3 linked regions of the Notamacropus eugenii genome follow. The protein of the gene in region 2 interacts with the protein of the main gene of each other region in a pairwise test. Links are inferred from orthologs where the notes say so. Each region holds a gene or a part of one and is shown on either strand. Other genes may lie near its edges. The genes, in order: VAPB, USP20 and BEND7.

Evidence for each region.
Region 1: the proteins of USP20 (region 2) and VAPB interact in binary tests that used the Homo sapiens proteins (3 or more experiments, as listed by UniProt). The two-hybrid records come from large-scale screens. The link is inferred for Notamacropus eugenii from reciprocal best matches to the Homo sapiens genes USP20 and VAPB.
Region 3: the proteins of USP20 (region 2) and BEND7 interact in binary tests that used the Homo sapiens proteins (3 or more experiments, as listed by UniProt). The two-hybrid records come from large-scale screens. The link is inferred for Notamacropus eugenii from reciprocal best matches to the Homo sapiens genes USP20 and BEND7.

Annotation. Positions count from the first base shown.
Region 1 is NC_092872.1:506,916,649-506,924,008, reverse strand, and holds the start of VAPB (vesicle-associated membrane protein-associated protein B/C), read left to right. Parts: upstream 1-4,286; 5' UTR 4,287-4,811; coding exon 4,812-4,869; intron 4,870-5,335; exon of another isoform or gene 5,336-7,360. UniProt on the Homo sapiens protein: Endoplasmic reticulum (ER)-anchored protein that mediates the formation of contact sites between the ER and endosomes via interaction with FFAT motif-containing proteins such as STARD3 or WDR44.
Region 2 is NC_092872.1:481,408,207-481,416,292, forward strand, and holds the start of USP20 (ubiquitin carboxyl-terminal hydrolase 20), read left to right. Parts: upstream 1-5,086; 5' UTR 5,087-5,219; intron 5,220-7,494; exon of another isoform or gene 7,495-7,516; intron 7,517-8,086. Other genes in the region: C1H9orf78 (splicing factor C9orf78 homolog), read right to left, coding at 484-563.
Region 3 is NC_092874.1:168,216,106-168,223,909, reverse strand, and holds the start of BEND7 (BEN domain-containing protein 7), read right to left. Parts: upstream 3,054-7,804; 5' UTR 2,504-3,053; coding exon 2,443-2,503; intron 1-2,442.

The sequences.
Region 1 (7,360 bases), about 26 Mb from region 2:
TTTGGTATATCTTAAACTACATTGTTTCAGCTGAGTCATTCTACAGACTTTTATAATGTAATGAATGACATGTTAAATCACTGCAGGTTTATGTTGTATTGTGAATGGATGTAAACATTTTACTAATAAAATGTGTTTATAAACATGAAGACTTGCATTCTAGAATGGTTTTTCTTTGTGGTTTGATCTAAGGAGCACATATTTCCTCCAAATCATGATTTCTCAAATAGCATATCTAAAACAGTTCCCAGACAGAGTTGGGAAACTAGCTACAGAACTGACAGTTGTCACACAGGCAAGTGGCAACAAGAACCAGCTGTCTTTACTTTCTAGGTTATCCTTCTGGATGGTCCTAATCTTCCTCATCCCTTGTGATTCAAGACAGGGGCCAGAATTGCCAAGGCCAAGATTAGCCCTTTCTTTTGAGGGTAGAGTTGAATTGGTTAAATGGGTCATGAAATAAAAAGTTCAAAACTAATTTCACTTCAAACTTAGAAGTTTATCAGAGATGCTAGTGTTCCATTTGCAGTGTATATGTGAATAGTGTTACTGTGTACATGCTGTGAAAAGTAACATGTTTTCATCTTCTCTTAGCTTTTTAGAATCAGGATCCTTTACTGCTGTAATGTGCTTGACAGTACCTACCTGCAGGCTTAGACAGGGCAGGCAGTGCCTAGAACATGTTTCTCAGATTTCAGATAATTTCCAAATTGATTGGTAACTTTCATTTGAAATTCAGCACCAGACTTCTAGTGAGGTAGTGATTGAGATAACTAACATTTAAGGCTTAAATTTAAAGCTTGTGGGTATTTTGAGTCCAATCAATACCAGCTTAAAAATATGCTGCCCTACTGAAAAGGTCGATATTGTTTTGAGAAACCAAGCATCAGTTTTCTTAGATCTTTTATTATAAGCATTAAACTATTTCTTTAAAAGGAAGACAAAAGAAAGTACATATCCTGGAGGGCTCTTGACACAGATTGTAGCAAAAAAATTTACATCTGACTCTGGTCAGAATGAATTAGGGTGTTAATAGACCCATTGTTTTAATCAAGAGCCCAAGAATTTAGATTTTCATCTTAAACAGTGCTGCCTAAAACTTCTCAGTATTTTCTAGCAGTTTCACAGTACTAGAATTCAGAAAACACCTTTAATAGTTAATAGTTGAAATTTATTATGCTGCTTTTAAGGTTTGCAAGATATTTTGCACATATTTGCATATATTCATTTGACTCTCACTGAACACCTGTAAGGCTGAAGAAGATTTGAGAGTCACTTGGACAGCAAAGAGATCAAATACTTAAGAATTTGATTCAGGCTATTTACTGGAATGTCAGTCAATAATGAAGCTGAAGCTTAAATACTTCTGCCACATAATGAGAAGACAGGACTCCTTGGAAAAGACCCTGATGTTGGGAAAGATTGAAGGCAAAAGGAAAAGGTGACAACAGAGAATGAGATACATAGTATGGGAATAACAAACATGAACTTCAACAGACTTGAGACCTTGTGGAGGATAGAAGGGTGTGGTGTGGCAATGGTCTCTGGGGTCATGAAGAATCAGCCATGGCTGAACAACAACAACCCCGTGAAGTAGGCAGGTCCTGTTATGCCCATTTAACAGATAGGGAAACAAGTTGCAACTCTCCCATGGTCACACAGCAAATGTCTGTTGCATAATTGGAACTCGGGTCTTTTTTGTCTTAAGGTTTAGCATTTTCCCACAGTACTAGATTGGCATGTAAAGATTATAAAAATGAAAGTACTGTATTTATTGTAAATAATGTGAAACAACCAAACTGATTTTTTAAAAAGTTCTTTGGTAAGTCTTCAATACATAAATAATATAGATCCAGAAATTTGTTAAATAAACTTATTTGTTAAATAAACTTATTTGTTAAATGATATGGGAACAGCCTTCAAAGGTTTTACAAAGATTCTATTCACCTTTCCGGAAACAGCTATTTTTTAAAAATGAAATGCTGAACTTTACATTTAAGGTCAAATACCTAGATTCTTTTCATAGTGCTAACACTGACATCAGCATTCCCATCTTCAGCTAACATCAATACTATTAATGTATGAAAGAATGAGAATAAGAATTATGAAAACAACAATAAGAACTCATTTTTAACCCGTGTGATTGCAATGCAAATTTGACAGATTTTATTATACAAGCCATTTAAATTATAAAATATCTAGATTTGTTTTTTCCTTTAATATGTTATTACAAAAGCAATAATTCCACATTTGACAGTTAAGATGTTGGGGATTCTTTTTCAGTTACCCTTGATTTCTTTTTAAGTGCAAAAGAACAATTTTTACAAGTGGGATAGAGTATAATTGCCAAATTTACGAATTTCTGGGAAGAAAGTTTTAAATACGAAGTTTATAGAAATCAGATTCATTTTTTTAAAAAGTACAACCTGTTGTTCTAAGTGACTGAGTTTAAATAGAAAAATCTTAACTTGCCTCTTCAGTATTTTGAAATTGAATAAACTGATACAGAGGCTAAAGTGATCTGGCAAATGTGGAAGAACATTTGAAGAAGTAGAAAAAAAATAGCATCTGAAAGTGATGGTTAAATACAAATCACTTCCTGGACAAAGTTGATTTCAGACATCTAAGCCTGCTGTTTGACATGCTTAATTATTTACTGATGTAACAAGATTCATGACTGCTATATGTGAGCTGATTTGTATTTGCATATATAATGCTAACCCCTGTATATCTCCTAAGAGCTGAGGGTCATTTAACATGTGGCTCATAATTAACATGCTAATTTTTTTTTCATATTGCAGCTTTTAAATAGAGACAAACCAAAGTTGTCATTCTTCATTTAAAAAAAAAAGTCAAATGAAGAAAAGCAAAATGATTTAAATTATGTAGCGAAATGAGAAAGAAGAATCTTTCTAAGTCACTGAATGCACAACATTAAACAGGATCACGGTTAGTCTGAACCACCCAGGGATCAGAAAGAGGCCTTCTAAAGATGAACAGAGAAGTTTGAGATGGACAGAAACAGCTGAAGAGGTGGGATACATTATAAATAATGCAGATATATACTGTAGCCTACTTCCTTAATGTTTCTACACAATCTTCTGCCTTGTTGCAAGCTTTAATAGGTTGATTCATCGTGTTTTATGGTCAGATGTTAAAACACTCCTGCCAGTGAAAAGCCCTAGATCTGCTTAGACACAAAAATAAAAATCAGAACCAGATTTTACGGCTCCTAATTGTCTAGAGATAAAATACTGGGACAGCACTGACAAATTATTATATTAAGGAATTGATCTAAAAGATTAACAGGGAAAATATTTATTTTCAGAGAACTTCCACAGAAGAAGGTAGAAGAAGGTATTTCATAATCCTTCCCTTTCCTGGTTGATGTAAGACTTTCACATTAATTATATTTTATAGAATAGTCTGAGGATACCTTCAGAGGCTTTCAGAGGATTGTAGAGCACCTGTTATTTAATATATAGGAACGGCAGTAGGGTCTAACACAGATCATTGAACCCAAGGGTAGAAAATCTGTGTTAAAGGTCCCTTTTTACTAATAGTATGTTACTAAGTCGTGTCCAACTCCTCCCAATCCCACCCACCAGAGTGGTTTGCCATTTCCTTCCCCAACTCCTTTTACAGATGAGGAAACAGAGGCAAATGAGGTGAAGTGATTTGCCCAAGGTCGGATCTGAATTCGGGTCCTCCTGACCCTATCCACGTCGTCACCTAGCTGCAGCACAACGACGGACAAATCAATTGATTTCTCTTGGCCTCAGTTTCCTCATCTTTAAAGTGGGGGTAATTACCCTGAGCCTGGTCCACCTAACAGATTAGTGAATCTAACGATAGTAACCGGTGGTAGAAACTGTTGCAAGGTTATGTACAAGCATTATGTATTATCAGAATAATGCACTTGCATCTGGGTTGCCCAAGTTCCTTCGCTTGTTTCAGAAGTAAAACTGATATTCATTTGAACACTGCTGCTCCCGATGCCCACGGTTCCGCCAAGGCCCCGGGCACCATCCTTCCAGGTGACCTCTGGGCAAAGGTAACTATCCGGTGGTGGTGGAAAGAACGGTCAAAGCCGGCCGCTGACACCCCAGAAAGAACGAGAGCCGCGGTCTCCAGCAGAACGAGGGCAGCACCACGGCGGGGCGGCGGCGCGCTCGTGCCGCCCCAGCCCCGGCCCCTTCGGGGGCTCCCCACGCCCCCTCCTCCCGGAGGCCCAGCCCCGGCGCCCCCGCCCCTGGCGCCACGCCCTCCCTCGGGGCGCGCGGCCCTGCCCTCCTCTCCTCCGCGCGCCAGCTCTCCCCTCTCCGCCCCAGGCGGATCCAGCACGCGCGCACTCGCCCAGGTGGCCGGGAAGGAGGACCAGGCTTTCGCAGCGCTCGCTACGTCAGCTCCGGCCTGTCCGGCCCTCCGGGTGCTGCATCATCGCAGGCGCCTCCCGCCGCCGCCGCCGCCGCCGCCGCTACCCCCGCTCCCTCGCCTCCGCCGCCTGCTCCCTCTCTCCCCGGGTCTGGCTGTGGGTCTGCGTGTGCGTGCGTGCGTGTGCGTGCGTGTGCGAGTGAGTGTGTGAGGGTGCCGGGCCGCGGCTGGGCTCCCCGGGCATCTCGCCGCCGCCCGCCCTCCGCCAGGTCGCCGAGACCCCTCTGCGCCTTCCGCCGGTGCTCCTTGAGCGTGTTTTCCGTCTGTTATTCCATGCCCTCTTTATTTTAACCTCCTGGGTCACCGACCCTGGTGCAGCGGGAAGCGGCCGCCTCCACCCCCTCTCCCGCCCCCGCCCCTCCCCCAATCCGAGGAATATGGCGAAAGTGGAGCAGGTCCTGAGCCTCGAGCCGCAGCACGAGCTCAAATTCAAAGGTAAGAGCGCGGGGACGCGGGCCCGGCCGGGGCGTTTGCGGGCCCTGGCCGAGGCACCACTGGCAGCCATTTTCCGGGGGCCCGGGAGAGGCAGGCGCGAAGAAAATGTCCTTCAGGTTTATTTCTCGGGGGCTCTGTGTGTGCGTCTTGGCCGCTTGGAGGTCCCCTTCTCCCCCCCTCCCCCCTTAGATTTAGCTTCAGATTCCCCTCCCCCACCCAGGAAAACGCGTTTCGAAGGGGCGTCCACCTGTTTATTGTATTTACCGGGTCTGAATCCTGGACATTTCGGGACCGGGCCCCACTTGCCTTGCTCCTTTGCAGAGCCCAGCTCCTCCTCTTCCCACACCCCACACTGCCAAAGAGGAGACGGATAGCCTGGAGAAGGGAAGGCTCCGGTTCGGGCCGGGGCTGCCCGCTGGGCGTTTGCCTGCCAGCGCCGGGAGGACTGGGTGGGTGCCGGGAGCTGGGCTGGGGGTGGGGGAAGGGCTGAGCTTCTGGGCCTCGGGGTTGTGCGGGACCGGGCGCTGGGGATTTTCCAGACCCTCTTCCCCCGCGCCCCAGGTTCTGGACTTTCTGATGTTGTGCCCCAGAAAGAAAAATGGAAATTTCTCCTTTGCAGAAACGTTTCTCTTTCCAATGACTTGACTTTACAGGATTCTATTTCTTCATCTCCTCCCCTCCTCCCCGCGCCCAGTTTTCTACCTAGAGAAACTGCCCGGGTTGGTTTGTGCATACTTTGGGTAGCCTTCCTACGAATGGGTAGTGTGTAAGCTTTCTCGGTGGCAGCCTAAGTAAATAATATCTTCTTTTGGGGTTGGTGTCTGCTCTCTTTGCTCTTATTAAAATTGTCAGGGCTGCTGGGAGCTTCGAAGAGGGGATACCAAATGCAACGTGTGCAACTGGTTCTAATTTGTTATTTGCAAGGAAACCTAGGGCCTTTAGCCCAGGGTTTGTCAGTGCTTTACATTTACCTGTTATTTTGTTTATGCTTCCCCTTCTTGAGGGATTGCTAGAAAACATGCTAAAACTCTTGCCATTTTGCTTCATAAAACAGAGACATTGGCTCCTGAATGTGCAGGGACTTAACGTTTGCTATTTAAAATTAAGTTCAAATAGTTGAAGTTGACAGAAGAGAAGGTGTTTTAATGCTGTCCTATGGGACGTTGCAACTTTGTAACTGCACTCTAAGCATGTAGGCTAGTTGCTACATTACTAAAACAGGGTAATCTACTGTAATGACTTTATTTATGTATTTATTTTTAGCAAATGTTGGTGGAAATGATTTCCATTTAGAGTTGTTCCTAAGGGCCATCACCCAGGTGTGTGAAATAATAAGGGCTGACACGAATAGTTGCACTTTATTTTTATACCTGGATAAACTGCCCTTTGTCAACGTAGGTTTGGCTAGCCTCTAATTAAAACTATGTTGCTGTAATCTCTCAAAATCATTCCTAAGTTATTACTGCTTCCCTAACACGTCCCAACTTCATTTACCTAAGCCCCCACTAGTAGAGAAAGGAGACACCTATAACTAATGGAAAGCCTGAAGAATTCTATTCTAGGCCACTAGAAAATTGTTGCCAGGCCATCATCATGTCCCTAGAGGACAGCTAATGTCATTTTAGAAGTCTGTTTATCTGCTTGCTATTCTCTTTAAACCTTTTCTATGCTTTTGAGTCAACATGTTGATAGATTATCTTTTTAGTATCAAACTATGTCTGTAAAGAAGAGGGCCAGTGTGTAAAGTGGTGGATGCAAATTAGTAGTAGTAACTGAGTGAATTTTTGCAAACTGAGGTTGAATTGGGTGCCATGAATGCCACTGAAGAAATGACTTTTTGTTAATTATCACTTATGGCACTCTACTAAGAGAAGAGGAAATTTTGAGAGTCACTATGGTATAATGTAAAGAACACTGAATCTGGGGTCAAAGGACCTTGAATTTAAATTCTGAACTTTGGGCATCCCACTGAACCTCTCTTTTGGCTTCAGTTTCTTTATCTGTAAAATGAAGAAACTGAACTAGATGACCTTTCAGGTCCTTTCCAACTCTAAATTATCTTATGAAAATATCCCAAATAGTCTGTGCTCAGTGTTCCATCTTCCTCGTCAGGTGATTCATCTTTATGTGGAAACCCTTAGGGAAAGCAAGAAATGGGCTTTCTAGAAAAGAGGAGAAAGAAAACCATTTTTTTAGTGCTTTCACTGCTGGCGAAACAGAATTCCAGAAATCACATCACTCAAAGCAACTTCAGCATATGTGTCAAGTGAGTAGTAGCATATGAAGGACAAATGCCTATGGAGCTAAGATAGGAACACAGAAGGCATTTAAAAATATCTTTGTAATGCTTAAATTATAAACTGAACTTAACCACAAAATTAGCTAGAGAGTCATCAGCAGTCCTTGCTCTGCAGAGATCAAATTCATTACAGTGCAGAAACAAGCGAACATTGCCGGCTTCTTCATCATATCCTCCTTAAAGGAAAGGATA
Region 2 (8,086 bases):
CTGCCCAGCTCACAGGGTAGTTACGGGAATCACAAGACATTATGTGTTACATAAACGTCAGATGTGACACAAGTAACACTCTGAAGGAACGAATGAATTGTCATTGGAAGAGAACACACGAAATATACATTCAACAGTTGCCAGTTAAGACAACAGCATTCCAACAAAGGCAAAACCAGTGCCTGTCCTCCGAGAGCTCCCATTCTGCTACGGGGGCAGGAGGGCAGCATCTTGGTCGCGGGGAACCCCCGCAGCTCTCGCATCGTTTTGGGGGTGCTCGCTCCCCCCGGGGGGCGGAGAAGATAAAAGCCGGGCAGTACGAGATCAATCCCGCAGGCTCGGGGTTAGGGTCAAGGCCGGCTGCCCTCCCGTTCGGACCTCGTCCTCCCACACCAGGGGCTCGGCCGATCCCGGAGGGATGTCATTGGGTCGGGGCTTCTCCGCACAGCAGTCCAGCCGCCCCCTGCCCCGCTCCCCACTCACCGGACCTCCTCACTGTCTTGCTCGTCTGACTCCGACTCCGAGTCGACGCGGCGCTTGCGGAAGGCCTTGCCGGCCCGCATGGTGCCCCGAGCCCGGGTTTCCACCAGGGACTGCCGCGGGGTGCCCCCGATGGGGCGCCTTGGCCCCGGAGCTGCGCAGCTGCTCAGGGCTGCTTCCGGCGCAGGCCAGTGCGGTCAGCGCTGCGTGCGGCCGCGGCGGCGGCGGGCCCGCCTCCGGCTCCAAGGGCCCGCGCGGGGCGCTGCCCATAGGGCCGCGTGCTCGGAGCCCGCCCCGCCCCGGCCGGCCCCGCCCCTCCCCCGTGCCGCCGCCGCCGCCCGAGCCGCGGGGATGGGGAGCGGGCAGCCGTGCCGGCGGCCACTCGGGAGCCCAGCCCGCCGAGGTGAGTGTGGGCGCGCGGGGCGAGGGCCGGCCGTTATCCTTCCGAGCCGCGGGGGCGGGGAGGGAGGCGGCGATCTTCTGCGGGGGACGCTCCCCCCGCCTCCCTCCCCTTAATTCCTCTCCCCTCTCATGGCACTCCCCTTTCCTCCTCTCTCATTGCACTCTCCTCTCTTCCCCCTCCCCCGCTTTCTTTTTCCTCCCTTCCCCTTTCATCCTCCTCTCCTCTCCCCTCCCAAAGCCCAAAGCTTGAGCGGTGGTCGAAGTTGTGCCAGCATTCCAGCTCAGCCCCTCGAAGGTGCCTTCCAGCGAGACAGGAGTTCGGCAGGTACACCAGGTGTACCAGTGTCTCTTCTGAATTTCACTAATTATCTAATTCAGACTGTAGAAAGTTGGCCTTTTAAAAAATGAATGAGTTAGCCTAAAATAATACTTTTAAAAGTAGATTGTATTTGGGGACTTAAGAAACATTGTCACAGCCCTAAGGTGAATTTTTTAAAGGAAAACGTTTACAACTTTCCCTCCTCTTGTTATTTTTTGAAAACTAAACACCACTAACGGCCGCATCAGGCCCCAGGCCTCTGTCATCCCTAGCCAGTCCAGAAGGGAGCCTCCTATATTTTTAGTTGACATTACTGTGGTAGCCTAATGATCACTGGATTCTGGAGGGAGAAGATTCTGTACTTGATTTTAATATTTACTTGCAAGTGACATTAGCTAAGTTCCTTATTGATTCTATAATTTGCTTTGTTGTAGGTAAATGAAAGAGAATAAAACTTCCTCTCTTACACAGGTTCTGTGACGATTAAGTTCACCTTTTAAAAATGTGTTTCCAGAAGTCTAAGGCTTTATGTTAGTATATAGTAATTGTTTCCTTTTTTTTAACCATAGGAGAGGTCATTTCTTTTAGTAGTTCAGATCTTCCACTAGCAAGTTATCCCAATTTTAATGGAGTCACAGTCCTCATTTACCCTCCCTAGATATGCTTTTCAGTTGCTTATAATGTATACACCAATGCTGATTGGTTTTTTGTCATACCTTTGAACTGCCAGTGTTGGCTGGTGTCTGGGAAATGGATTGGTTTTTTCCTTTGGAAGGGTAAAGCTTGACCTGCCCTGGGCGTATTACAGTATATCATACCAAGCCTGAAAGGTAGATGGCACCAGGTAGTTCCACGTAGGTGTCTTTAAATACAACTGTATTTGTAGGCATCAAGGACTGGAAATCTTGTCTCACAACCATTGTTTTGGTCATTGCTTAGCTAAGTACCCCTCCAAAGATTCTGAACTTATACTCTGGCTGTGACCTAGGCCCCTGTGCACTAACTATACCCTTCTAGGAAGAATTGAGTGGATAACCTGCATCATAAGCTATGACTGAATGAAAGATTGGCACCTTTGGTTTAGTTAGCACAAATTAGAAGACCTGGGTTTGAATTCTGACTGCCACTTTTTTGCTTTGTGATCTTAAATCACTTAAAGCTGATGTTTCTGTTTCCTCATCTGTAAAATGGGACTGATAACTGTATTTATTACCTACCTCACAGGGATTTTGTGAGAATTGAATAAGGCCATGGCTGTAGACAATGGATATAAAAGCATTTTATAAACCACCAAGTGTTACTTTAATTTCAACTTTTGTTACTATGAATTTAGATTTAATAAATGTTTTTTAGATTGAGTGGTGAGAATATTTTGATCTTTTTGTTTTGTTTTAGGAGGAATGTTTAGTTCTGGTTTGAACTGGTTTGCTAGCTATTTGCTTAAAAAAAAACCTTTAGTTTAGGTTTGAGATCAGTAAAATTAATATTTGTGTTAGGCAATTAGTATTTGTGGTTCAGCAAATTGGTACCATTTGTTCTAATTCCTAGTTTGATTGGTGGTGCAGTGGAAAGATCACCAGATCTGGGTTCTGCCACTAACTTTCAGTGTGACTGTGGGCATGCCACTGTCCTACTCTAGCCCTCAGTTTTCCCAAGATGAACAGGTTAGACTAGATTATGTATCATCATCAGCTTTCCAGCTCTAAAAAACCACACATCTAAGTCCCCGTTTAAAAGTCACTTAATTCACACTTCTCTATAGAAGAGGTATCTGACACCACACACAGGCAGCATGTGTGCAGCCCCCAACATTCCCCAAAACATTGGAACAAGATGAAAATGTAATTGGAAAATATTTAATAAGACAATGAGATGTGGTTTCCTAAGTCAGTATATGGCCTCCAACGATCCTGATATTTGGTTTAATGATCTGGTTTCTGTTTGAGTTTGACACCACTGCTCTAGTATATGTATGATAATTAAGCTAGCATTGATATAGCTCTTTAAAGTTTGCAAAGTACTTTACATATATTTTACTTTATCCTCACAACAGCCTTGGGAAGTAGCTGCCATTATTATCCCCATTTTATAAATGAGGAAACTTGAGGCAGATAGGTTAAGTGACTTGCCCTGGGTCAAACAGCCAGAAAATGGCCAAAATAGAACTCCAGTCCTCCTGATTTCAGTCTAGAGCTTTATCCCCTGCACCACTTAGTTGTCTAGGAATGCCTCCTGTGTGTGTTGTTTTTTAACCAGGCCTTGTTGATTTCTCCTACCCCTATCCAGTCCTCCACAATGTATGAAAACCCTGTCTTATCAAATCACTGTTTCTTGTGCAGGACAGTAATGTCAGGTGCTATAAGGTTTTATAAGTACTAGTTATGGTCCCTACTCTCAAGAAGCTTACATTTAGTTGAGGAGTCTAGATCATTACAAGTGAAATCATTCAATTAACTAGTATTTATTGAGTGCCAACTGTGTGCTAATCATAATCACTGAAGATGGAACAAGGACTGATCTGTACCTCCAATGACCTTACATGTTAGGGATCTAAGGGGTAGAAATAACAGCTACAATATTAACAGACGTTTGTTTATTATACTGCTTTACGAAGCACTTTCATTACAATAACTCATAACTAATGCAAATTAAAACATCCCCTGCCTTTCTTAGATTGTTGTTTGTCTCTTTTTGTTCCAGGCATCTTTGACAGTGCCTTGAAGCAATAGATATTTGATAAGTGTTTGCTGAATGGTGTGTAAAAATATAAATATTCATGTTGAGTGTAACAGTAAAAATATTTAAATACTAGTTCAAAACAACACAGGATGCCATAAGGTCGTAACTGATTGTGCAGCCAATTATATAGCCAATAAATGCCACTGGGAGCCAGCCATCACTGAGAACTGGGCTGGGCTGTCCTTGAAGGAGGCTTGGAGGAGATGGGGCTAGAGCCAGGTCTGGAAGCTTAGGCAAGAAAGGAGTCTTGCTTGCTTTTTCTCTTGTGGTCCTGTGCGACTACCCCAGCTCCCCCTGGATTTCTAAGGCTTATGTGCCCCGTCAACACCTCCACCCTCTCCCCGCAAAAAAGGCTATATATACCGCCTAATAGAATGCAAGTTCCTTAAGGACACAGACTGTGTCTTTTGGGGTAGAGGGGCAGTCTTTGTCTCCCACACGACTCGGAGGTAATGGGTGCAAGTTTCCTCCTACAGAACACTGAGTTATTGACAGCTGACACTGGTTTGCTCTCAAGGAGATGGCAGTCCATAGGAGAAAGGACAGGACAGATGTTTGGTGATAAAGGCGATGGTGCTTTTTCTTTTTTAAAAAAAGGTTTTACTGATTCTCTTTCAAAAAACAAAAGTCACTGTCACTTTACAGTGATCCCACCCACCCACCGCACAGTCTTCTCTAACAAGTAAAACCTGCGTGCAAAACACATCTTTCCGCCCCCCACCCCCCACCCCGCTCCCCCCACGTTGGCCGGGTCTAAAGAATTCTTGGTACGGCTCCTGTAGGCCCCCATCTCCGCAGGCAGGCTGAGCACGGTCCCCTTCCCAGGAGGCTATAACCGGGGCACTGGGGGAGAGGGCCTCCCCAGTGAGCCCCAGGAGACCCCGCCTCCTGGGCTCCGAGCTGGGACGCCTGCGGGCCCCGCCTCCACCTGGGCCTAGGAGCGGCTTGGCTTCCCCAGCCCACGCCCCGGGCTCGTTCGCTCGTGGCCTCTCTCTCCGGGTGGGAGGCCCTTCCCCGGCGCCCCCTGCCCCTGCTCGGTGCGCGGACCAGCCCGGCGCGGCCCCCTCCTGCCCCAGCCCTCCTCTCTACCTGTCCCCCCGCCCCCTTCCCTCCCTCTCTGCCCGCGAGTCCGCTCCCCCACCCCGGGCGTAGTCCCGGACCCCCGGCCTCGGCAGGAAGGCGGGAGGAGACCCCAGGCCCTGGGGTGCCGAAGCCGCAGCCCGAGCCCGAGAGAGGAGAGGCGGAGACCGAGGAGGGCGAGGACCCGAGGAGGGGGCCGGTGAGCGGTCAGGGGCCCGGTTCTGCCGTTGGGGAGCCTGGGGGCCTGGCCCCGGAGTTTAGCCCACCCGAGCTTAAGGAATTGACTGGAGATGGGCGGGGGAAGGTTCGAGGGAGAGGGGGAATGAAAGGATGGGGGAGGGAGAACCAGACCCACCAACTAAGAGGGGAGAGTTGGGTAGAGGGCGAAGGTTAAGAGAGGGAAAGTGGGAGGACTCGGGGAGAGTTAAAGGGGGATGGGACAGGGCTAAGAGAGAAAAGGGAGAACGGGGGAGGGTGGCGAAGGTGAGGCCAGCTTAGAGAGGTCCGGGAGTGAGACTAGGGGAGGAGCAGGAGAGGGTTCAAGGAAAGGGGGCTTGTGGATAGATCGAGGCCGGTCAGGGACCTCTCCCCCGCCTCCACCAGATAAGGAGGAGAAGTTTGGTCAGTAAAACCTCGGAGGAAATTTTGAGGTGGGGGGTGATGAAGGTTAATAGGAACCAGCATCTTTTGAAGACAGAATTAAGGGAATAAAAGGGAGTCAAACAAGGCATGGTGGGGGGAAGCGAGGGGGAATGGTTTAGAAGGAAGCCTGCAGTTGTGTTGGAAAGGGGATGGAGTGCATTGGTAACTCAGAAGAATTAGAAGATGAGGACTGAAAGCAGAGGGGTGACAGTGGTCGACAAATGTGTGGTGTATGCAAAAACCAGGCAAGAAAACCGAAGGAACTGGTGACTCTAGGCAGAATTAGTTAGGTCAGTTGCCTGGGATGAGAAGCGTTTCCCAAGGGGCTGCTCCGAGCCTCTGTTTAGTTTTTGCTGTGCAGCGACTCCTCTCATTTCAGTGAGCACCAATGGGGCGGGCCCTTGGTTAGTTAAACCTCCTTGCACCCACTTTGCTGCTTTTTTTCTTCATGAGGAGGGAGGTAATTCTGGGATTACAAAGACTGTCATCACAACCACATCACACCACCTGTGTGGACAAGGATGATGCAGCAAAAGGTCCTTGAGAAAATGATGAGTAACCCTGAGAAGCAGCCTGGGCAACAGGCTGCCTGGGCTCTAGTTCCGATGTTGGAATTTGACTCTTGCTCCTAGACGTGCATCCTCCAGACCCTGCTTTTATCAGGGAGTCAAGATGACAGTTGCATTTGATCTCTTCTAAAGAATCATTTATCTTCACCTGCAGCCTCTCTTTTGAAATCTTAATTGTGTAACCTGGCAGCCTCCAAAGGAAGGCTGATTTCATTCTGAAAGCTCAGTGGAAAGCTTTGTACCTTAGTGTATCTGCATCATTCTCTCTCCCTCCCTCTCTCTCTCCCTCTCTCACTCACACCCACACACCCACACATCCACCCCACACACACACTTGCTCTCATTCCCTCTCCCCCATAAGTTTTTTGGTTTTTTGTTTGTCAACTTAGAGGGGGAAAGTGCCGTGTGAATTAGCCAGGAGAGAGAATGCATTTGTGTGTAGAGTAATAATTTAGTTTTTGTATGAATATGAAAAGTGATAGATTACTTATGCTGTAGCAAGATTTGGGGAAAGGCAGGATATCTTTTTTAATTTAAGTTTTAGCAGTGGCTGCTGGAGAAAGAGGGAAGACATAGGAGCTCTGCTTTTTTATCAATTGTAATTTCAACAGGTCCTGAACGAATACCTACTTTGTACATATTCTTTACCAGGCATTCCATTTCTCTGACATTTTTTCAAAGTGTTTCATCATATTGATCATTGACAAACATGCTCCCACTTCTAAGATAAAAATAAAGAATCCTGAACATTTTAAGTTCCTGATAAAAGCTCAATAAGGATTAGTGCAAAGAAGTTGTCAGTTCTCTGGGAAAAGTTGTCCACTGATAATTGGCAGTCTTTGCCTTGTGCTACATTTTTAGGGTTTGCTCATCATTCCTATTAAAGGAGGATTATTTACTTGGCTTCAGAAGCAATTAACTTCAAGCTTAGTTAGTGCTTACTGCAGCCTTGCTTTTCTTTATCTATTTATAGGCAATTCTTTTTGGGTTCCATAGGTCTGGATGTTAGGCCTTGGGGAATCTGGCTCTAATTTCTGCCTTAGTATTGGGTCTTTGCAGGGTCTGTGGTAGAATTCTACATGTGATGTGTCAAGAGAAGAAAGTGTATCATTCATGGGTGAAAAAGGTCTTTGATTGTGAAGTAGTACTCCTCAGCTCAAGGAATCATTTTTTAGCAGGTCTGAACCTGATGAGAGTTCAAGAGCTTTGGGGACATGTGCTTCTAGTGTTTTCCTTTTTCTGTGGGACCTGGACAAAAGGGAAACTAATAGAAGCTATGCTTAAGGTAATTTAATTTTTTTTAACAGACACATTGTAATTTTAATAAATGATTGTTTTAGGAGATGATACAAATTTATCATTTTGTGATGACTGTTTTGTTACAGTGAAAGAAAACCTTGGTAAAAGCCTATGGGAATAAAAGTCCCTTTGGTAGTCAGGAGAAAGAACATACATTTGAATCTACTTTGATTATGAGTATTCCTTGATCTAAAGAAAGACTTGGCTTTTTCCATATAGTATAACTAGGTAAGAGACACTGAATTTCTTCTTTCATACACAGGACATGATATGTCTGGGATATATATAATGTAGAGCATTTTCTCAGAGAGTTAGGAAGTTGGTCTGGAAGCGCTCTTGATTTAAAGCAAAAATATAATCAAAAATTTTTTTTTGCTTTTTTTTTTTTTTTAATCTGACCTCTACTTCAGACTGCAGATTCTAAGTACAGTATAGCTAACCACAAACTTTGGTAATCCTGTGCAGGTCAATGTTTCCTTCCACACTAAATCAAAAGCATTCAGTCTCTTTTCAAAATAACTAGGGGAAGTTTCAATTCCTGATTTCTCGTCTAATT
Region 3 (7,804 bases), on a different chromosome or scaffold from region 2:
TTTATAATTATAATTTTTAAAAATCAGATTAACCACAGAATACAAACACTATAGCAGCACCCAAGAATTTTATCAGTATTTTTGAAACTGTACAAAATAAATATTCACAGATTTTTGAGAATAACTTTGCCTGATATATGTCAGGTTTCACTGACAAGTATGTCAGCATGAAAGTTCAAATGTTTTTTCTAAACCTCAGCAAGTAAATTCATAACCAATAGGGAAAATGTGCTGCATCCCAGGTCATAGAAGTCTTTTACATTGAACTATACAACTAAATTTGTATAGGACATATTAAGAGCATTCCCAATAGTTAGTGACAACACCCTTGATTTTAACAATTAATACTGAAAAATACTGGGAATTGAAAGTCTAAAAGGAAGCTCATATGAAAAATACTCATTTGTTGTTTTAAGTAGAGTGAAATTTGAATATGGAAGCCAGGGTCTCATCTTTCACATAAGGGTATCTTTTGCATACAGCTACTGCACTTTAATATGCAGTGGCTCATTTTCTGAAAATGCACCTGCATAGCAAAGAGTCAGACTCAGAATTTGTTATAAACTTCCTATGTCAGTCCAACTTAAAAATACAGAATTTCACTAGCCTCTCTGTAGAGGCTCATGCGGTTTTGATAAAGTTCCTACAAATTGGGATCACCTAACTATCTGCCTTAAAGGTAGATTTCTTTTTACATTCATGACTTATGGGTGCCCTTGGACATTACAGACCAACACCTACACAACTACTCTCATTTTCAAGATATGGTAATAAGTTATCTAAAGTTAGAAAAAACAGAAGTAACATATATTCTTGAATGAATAAAGCCCCCCAAAATGGCAGGTTATATATGAAAAAACTTTTAAAAGTTCAAGTAACTGAGCAATCAACTCAGTGAAGCAAAGTTACAAAGAATCAAAAAGCTAATATTCTGAATAGGTATAGTGACTGAAAACCCCTTTCACCAAATTCTATCCACTTGCTTAACTATTTAAATCAGTTTAATTGAGAAGAAAACATATAATCAAATGAATTTTCAAACAAACTAAAAGTAGGCTTTATTTGCTCCACACTAACATTTAGTTTAGCTGGGGTTTAATTAGGAAAAAAACCCTGTTATTTGCAAATAGCCCTCTACTTTTCATTAGTCTATATGATGACTTTTTAGAATTTTTAAAACAGTTGGTTTGCTCCCACCCCCAATAGTCCATAAAACATCGGAGGAAAAACAGACCGGTTCTAAGTTTTTGTGTTTGTTCAAATTTAAGGTTGTTTCAAAAAAGAGACTTAAGGAAAATAGGTGTTCTGAACCCTCAAAAGAGAAATGTGACATTACAATGTACTAATCACCTGCTTCGAATCTAACAAGTCACAAGTTGGTTAACAGATATATCTTACTTCTTTTGCCTTGGGCTTTAATTCTTCTCAGTCTTTTCTAAGCCAAATTAGAAAAAAATAAGATCCTAACAAGTAACTCATCCTCAACTGGACAACTACTACCCTCTCCCCTCTGAATAGCCTAAACCCAAGCAGTTGAGATATACACCTGTTAAATTATTGAGAAATTTGATGGGATTTTTAAAAATTGATTTTCACTAGATGCATAATTCTTTTTAAACACGTTTTCCTAAACCAATCACACAACCCAACAAGTTAGATAGCAACAATTTTTCCTTGTGCAATGGCATTGTTTTTCCTCCGAAATGAAAGAAGGAAAAATCACACCAAAACCTTTCATGTGGGGGGGAGGGACCGACAAGGGAGGTGGGGGGGAGGGGGGAAGAATTTGGTCTTAGGGACAAGAATCATTCGTCCAGACTTCTGTACACCTCTAAAATTGAAAAGCAAACACCCCACTTCCCAAACCTGGCCACAGTAGTTGAAAGCACAAGAAGGTTTTTTGCTCCCTAAGTGTCATTGTTTGCTAATTTCCTGATTCGCTTTTTGGGCTGTTTACGTTCAATAACATCCTGACTCCCCCCCTTAACCATACAACTTTATTTTGTGTACAGTGGTCTCATCGCCAAGCATCAACGTTGCCCCCACACACACCAAAACGCCCCCGCTGTCGAGCGGGTTCTTTTAAAAATAATAACAATAACCCTTTTTAAAGATACAGTTGCTGACTTGAAAATACATAATTGCATTGACAAATAACAGAGGATGAGGGAAATGACAAGGGAGAGGGCGAGAGGGGATAGGAGAGCGCTGGTGGCTGGGGGGATGTTTACACCCTGGTCAAGTCCCTTCTCCGAGTCTCTGGCACCCACCCGAGAGAAGCCCCCTAGCCGGTCCCCACCTCTCTCTCTCTCTCTCTCTCTCTCTCTCTCTCTCTCTCTCTCTCTCTCTCTCTCTCTCTCTCTCTCTCTCTCCTTCTCTATCTCCCTCTCTCTCCCCCCCCCCTCTGCCCGCCCCCCCGCCCCCACGTCCCTCTCTTCTTACCTTGGTTCACCAGTTTGAAGCTTTGGGATTTCCTGCTTCTTTTCCTCTCGGAGAACTCCATGGTGCTGGGGAGAAGGAAGGAGGAAGGGAATGTGGCAGCGGAGAGAGAGAGAAGGAGAGACAGAGAGAGGGAGGAACAGGGGGGAGGGAGAGGAGGAGGAGGAGGAGGTGGAGGAGGCGGCGGCGGAGGCTCTGGTCACCCGGCCGCAGCAGCAGCAGCCGCCGGGAGGACCCAGGTCCGTGTCTCGACAACAGTAAGAATAATGTAAAGGAACAAAATCGATCCGGCCCCCCGGGCGATTTCGGACCCGGGCGTGGGCGGGGCTGGAGGCTTCCCTCGGAGAAGTTGCCACTTTGCTCTCGCCCCCCAGCCCCGCACCCCGGGCCCCCGGCCCGGAGACAAGGCGAGGAAGCTGCCGAGCCCGGGCCCGCCGCCCTCCGCCACAACTTTCGGCTGGGGCCGGACTTGGCCCGGGGCTGGCTCGGGGCCGGCCCGGGAGCAGAGGGCTGGGAAAGGGGCGGGCAGGCGCCGGGCGCTTTTTCCTGCTCCTTCCCCGCGAGGCGGCGGCGGCGGCGCGAGGGCGGCGATGCGCGGCCAGGGAGGCGGCAGCAGGTCGGGTCGGGCCGGGAGGAGGTGGCGGCGGCGGAGCCGGGGGAGCCGGGTCAGAGGCGCTCGCCACCCCCCCACCCCCCCCCGCCGGGGCGGGCGGAGGGAAGGAGGGGAAGGAGCGGAGGAGGGAGCGCCCGCGCTGCCTGGGACCCCGGTGCCACCTGCTGGGGGGAGCCGGCCCTCGCACCGGCGCCCCGGGCCACCCCCCTCCCCGCCTCCGCCATCCCCCTGGGGGCCGAGCTGAGGGAGCCAGCCGAGCCCGCCGGCCGCTCCTCGGGCTCGGCCCCCGGCCCCACGCCATCCCGAGGAGGCGGAGGCCGCACGGGCAGACGGACCCACGGACCGACGGACGGACCGAGCAGCTTCCCGCGAGCCGCGGCCGCCGCGCGCTCGCGCTCTAAGCCCGCGCTCGCGCCCTCCCCGTCACCTCCCTGCCCCGCGCGCGTTGCCGCCGCCCGCCCAAGGCCCGGGGCTCGCTCGGGGCAGGGGGAGTCTTCCTCCCCCCGGCTTTGGAGAGCGCTGCTCAGCTCATACAACCTCCCCCCCTCCCTCGCCGCCGGCCTGGAAGCTCCATGGGGAGCCTCCCCCTCACGGCCAGGATCCTGCTGGTTCTTTCCTTTTCCTTAGAGACTCCAAGTCTTGGGGGGGTCCTCCCCTCTTGTCTGCTTCAGTCCTGGGAAGGCTGGTATGCCCCGCCACCCCCAAACCGCCTCCTACTCTCACATTCCTGAACCAGAGAGCCCTTATTTTAAGCAGCTGTTAGAGGTTATCTCCCCTGTCCACAAATGACTACATATGAAATGAACCAACGGTCTTGAAAAGGGTAGAGAGCATTGACACTGAGCCCCGAATACTGACTACAGACCTCTTGGTCTGGGTGGCCCCAGAATTTGGAGAACACATGTGGATTGAGGGTCGTCCTGAGAAAACTTGTCATCCCTCAGGTTCTGCATTAGCTGTCTCCGTTGCTGGTGAAGAACCAAATCCCTAAGGCAGATGCAAAAGACTGGCGTAATGATATCAAAATAAAGGGAATAAACAATAAGCATTTCATTAGACTTATTATGGGCATCTCTAAGGAGCACAGAGCACATCAAGGACACTGTTTGTTTCTTCTTCATAACATCCCCTGGGAGAGAGGGAAAAAATAATTGTATACCTCTTGGGATGTGCAGCACTAGAGAGAGAGCCACAATGGTATTAGTGGTTAAAATCATTGAAACTGGAGTCAAATTTCATTTCTGTCACTTAATCCCAATCCAATAAATACAATAAACATTTATTAAGTACCTACTATGTGCCAGGCATGCAGACACAATAAAAAAGACAATCCTTGCCTTCAGTGAGTTTACAACCTAAAGAAAAAAAGACCACACGAAAGGAGACAGGAAAGGGGAGAGGGTGGTTGGTGGGGAAAAGTCACAACCTCCTTGGACACAATTTTCTCTTCTGTCAAAGGTGCCTTCTAGATCTATGATGATTTTGTAAGAGGCATTTAGGTGGAGGAATAGTTGGGTTACAGAACAGGGTGTCCCAAAAGGCCGGCTCTCGGTCTTTTGGGACAGCAGGTATAACAAATCCCTAGTCGCCTTAAAGGCTAGTGAGGATGGGAGGGCATGGTGATGAATAGTAGCACCATATTTCACCATGGACCCCACCCAAGGAGACAATACTGTAGCGGGGAAGAGGTGTCAAACTCATACAGAAGCATATTTAAAAAGAGATCCCTACTGGTTGCATATTTATTTAGGAAACCCCGTTTGATGTTATGTTCTGTTGTATTTTTATTTTGTTTACTACTACCCAATTATGTTTTCATCTAGTTCTCCTCTAGATACTCGGGAATGTTGATGTGTTTGATATCTGCTGTACAATGATTGACAGTTGCCCATGTTTCATTCAGTTCCTTCCTTCCCTGCTTTAGTGGATTACCATAGCAGAAGAATTCCACAGCAGAAGAATTGCTAGTCCCGTAGCTGGTGGTACATCTACTGGTAATCACTGTCTCTGCACTTAAGTAGGCTGATTTTTGGCAAGCAGGCAACCTGTTGCCAGGACATGCTTGCTACCTTAGCAAGATTCTGCCATGTTTTGTGAATACTTAGGAAGTACAGCAGTGATCAATATCAGCCACTCTGGGTTAATAAATAACAATTCCCACCAAACTAATCTTAATTCTTTTTTTTTTTTTTTTGGTTTTATGAGGTAATCTGGGTTAAGTGACTTGCCCAAGGTCACACAGCTACTAAGTATCAAGTCTGAGGTCATATTTGAACTCAGTTCTTCATGACTCCAGCACTGGTGCTCTATCCACTTCACCACTTAGCTGCCCCTCCTTAGTTCATTTTTGACAGGACTATTAAATTTATACAGAAGAAGAATTCTGTAGGTATCATATACTCATATTTTGGTGAGGTGTTTAAATGAGAGAACCTCTCATAGTTGAGATAAATCTGAAGTTCTATACTTGGAATAAAAATTGCCTTTACAAGTACAGGAAGGGAGAGATATGACTAGATAATGCATATAAAAATGAGCTGGGCGTTTAGTGGACTTTCAGTTCAATATGAATTTACAGCACCCCCAAAAAAAGCTCATGGAATCTGAAATTGCATTAAGAAAAGATTAGTGTATAAAACAGAGGTTCTCAACTTGAAGTCTCTGAACTTGTCTTATTTTGTAACTGTATTTCAATATAATTGGTTTCTTTGTATTTTATGCTTTCAGAAACATTCTGAAAAAGGGTCCCTAGGCTTCACCAGACTGCCAACAGGACTATGATATAAAAAAGGTTGAAAACCTCTAGTCTAGAATGAGGGGAGATTATTATATCCTCCCCATCCTTCCTGTTTCAATTTAGAAAGTATTTATTAGGCACCTACGACGTAGCAGGTACTGCGGTGGGTGCTGAAAATATAAAAATAAAATATTGTACCTGCATTCAAAGTTTCTACATTACTAGGGGAAAGCAATATGTACACAGATAAATGAATACAAAATATATATAAAATAAGTTATTTGGGGAGGAGCACTACCTGGTTGAATTAGGAATGACCTCTTCTAGGAGGTTATACTTGAGCAAAACCTTGAGGGGAGCTGGATTCTAAGAAGAGCAGGTAGGTGGCAATAGAGCACTGAGCTTGAAATGTGGAAGACTCATCTTCATGAGTTCAAATCTAGCCTCAGAAACTTACCTGCTGTGTGACCCTGGGCAAGTCACTTAACCTTGTTTACGTCAGTTTCATCATCTGTAAAATGAGTTGGAGAAGGGAATGGCAAACTACTCCAGTAACTTTGCCAAGAAAATCCAAAGAGTTGGACAGGACTGAAACAACTAAACAACAAAAGATTCTAAGAGGAGAGGTATAGAGGAAGGTGCCTCTGGAGGCACAGAGACAGACTGACAGAGGTGGGAAAAGAATTGTCATTAAGATTTGGCATAATCTTCAGGTGTTCAAAGGGCTGTGGTGTAGAAGAGGTGCTCTCAATTTATGTTTTGCTCAAGAGGGCAGTTGAGTGATAGAAATTTCAAAGAGAAAAATTTAGGTTCACTAGGACAAAAGTCCTAACAATTATAGTTATCCAAAAATTGCATTGAACTACCTTTGAGTGTAGTGAATTCACCATTCCTGGAGGTCTTGTTTGTGAGTGTCATATCAGGTCTTCAACCCTTCATCTAAATCCGTACATTACTAAATCTATTCTCATCTTTCCTTTGCTTTCTTTCCTCTGCTCTCCCTATTTCCTCTCTGACCCATCCTAAATTGAAAGTCGCAAGTCTTAGTGTTCAACTTTGTCCTTTTAAAGGTTTTAAAAACCTCTGACCAAAACAAAGCTGAGAAACAGACAGACTAAAGGACATTTAGGAACTTTAATACCTGCGAATATAAAATGAGGTTTTATTACACTTAAACTAGGATGAAATCATTGAAGTTGTCATACCAAGATGCAAAACCCTAGGGAAGCTATTAACAAATTAACACTTCCAGTTCAAGTGGGAAGATGAATTCCACTTACCATAGAGAATAGTATATGTGTAGTTAAAAATAAAAGCCAAATATAATGGAATGGTTTGGACAATTCAGTTGAATTTCCCTTGAATCTTTTGACTGACATGAGACCCAGGACTGGAACATCGCTTAGGAAGGGAATACCTTATTCAAAAGCATTATTTGTGGACCATTATTATAAACAGGTGGACCACAGACTCTGGACCAGGTCAATATCCATGTCAAATCAACAAATAATTATTGAAAAACTACTTTGTGTAAAACCCTATACTTTTTAAAAATAATGTCAGTACTTTTGGTTTTGGCAAGAACTAATGATTTTAATCAAAAGAACTTTAAACTGAAAAATAAGGGGGAAGGAGAAAATATCGTATGTATATCCACCAAGATAAATATCATAGAGAATAAGTATGATGTAATAATAATAAATAACACCTGTTTATGTTTAACTCATGTTTATGTAGTGTTTTAAGATTTTCAAAGTGTCCAATATATTACTTCAATTAATGTTCACAACAACTCTGGTATGTATTTGTATCCTCACTTTACAGATGGGGAAGCTGAGTTTCAGATAAGTTAAATGATTTATCCAGGCTCAAATAACTACAAAGTATCTGAGATAATTTCTAAATCCAGGTATGTAGTGACACCAAGAAGTTTTTAGGAGGCAAAATCCAATGAAGTACCAATAATTAATTTAGTGGCCTCAAGTATCTATAAATAAATGTACAAAATATGGATA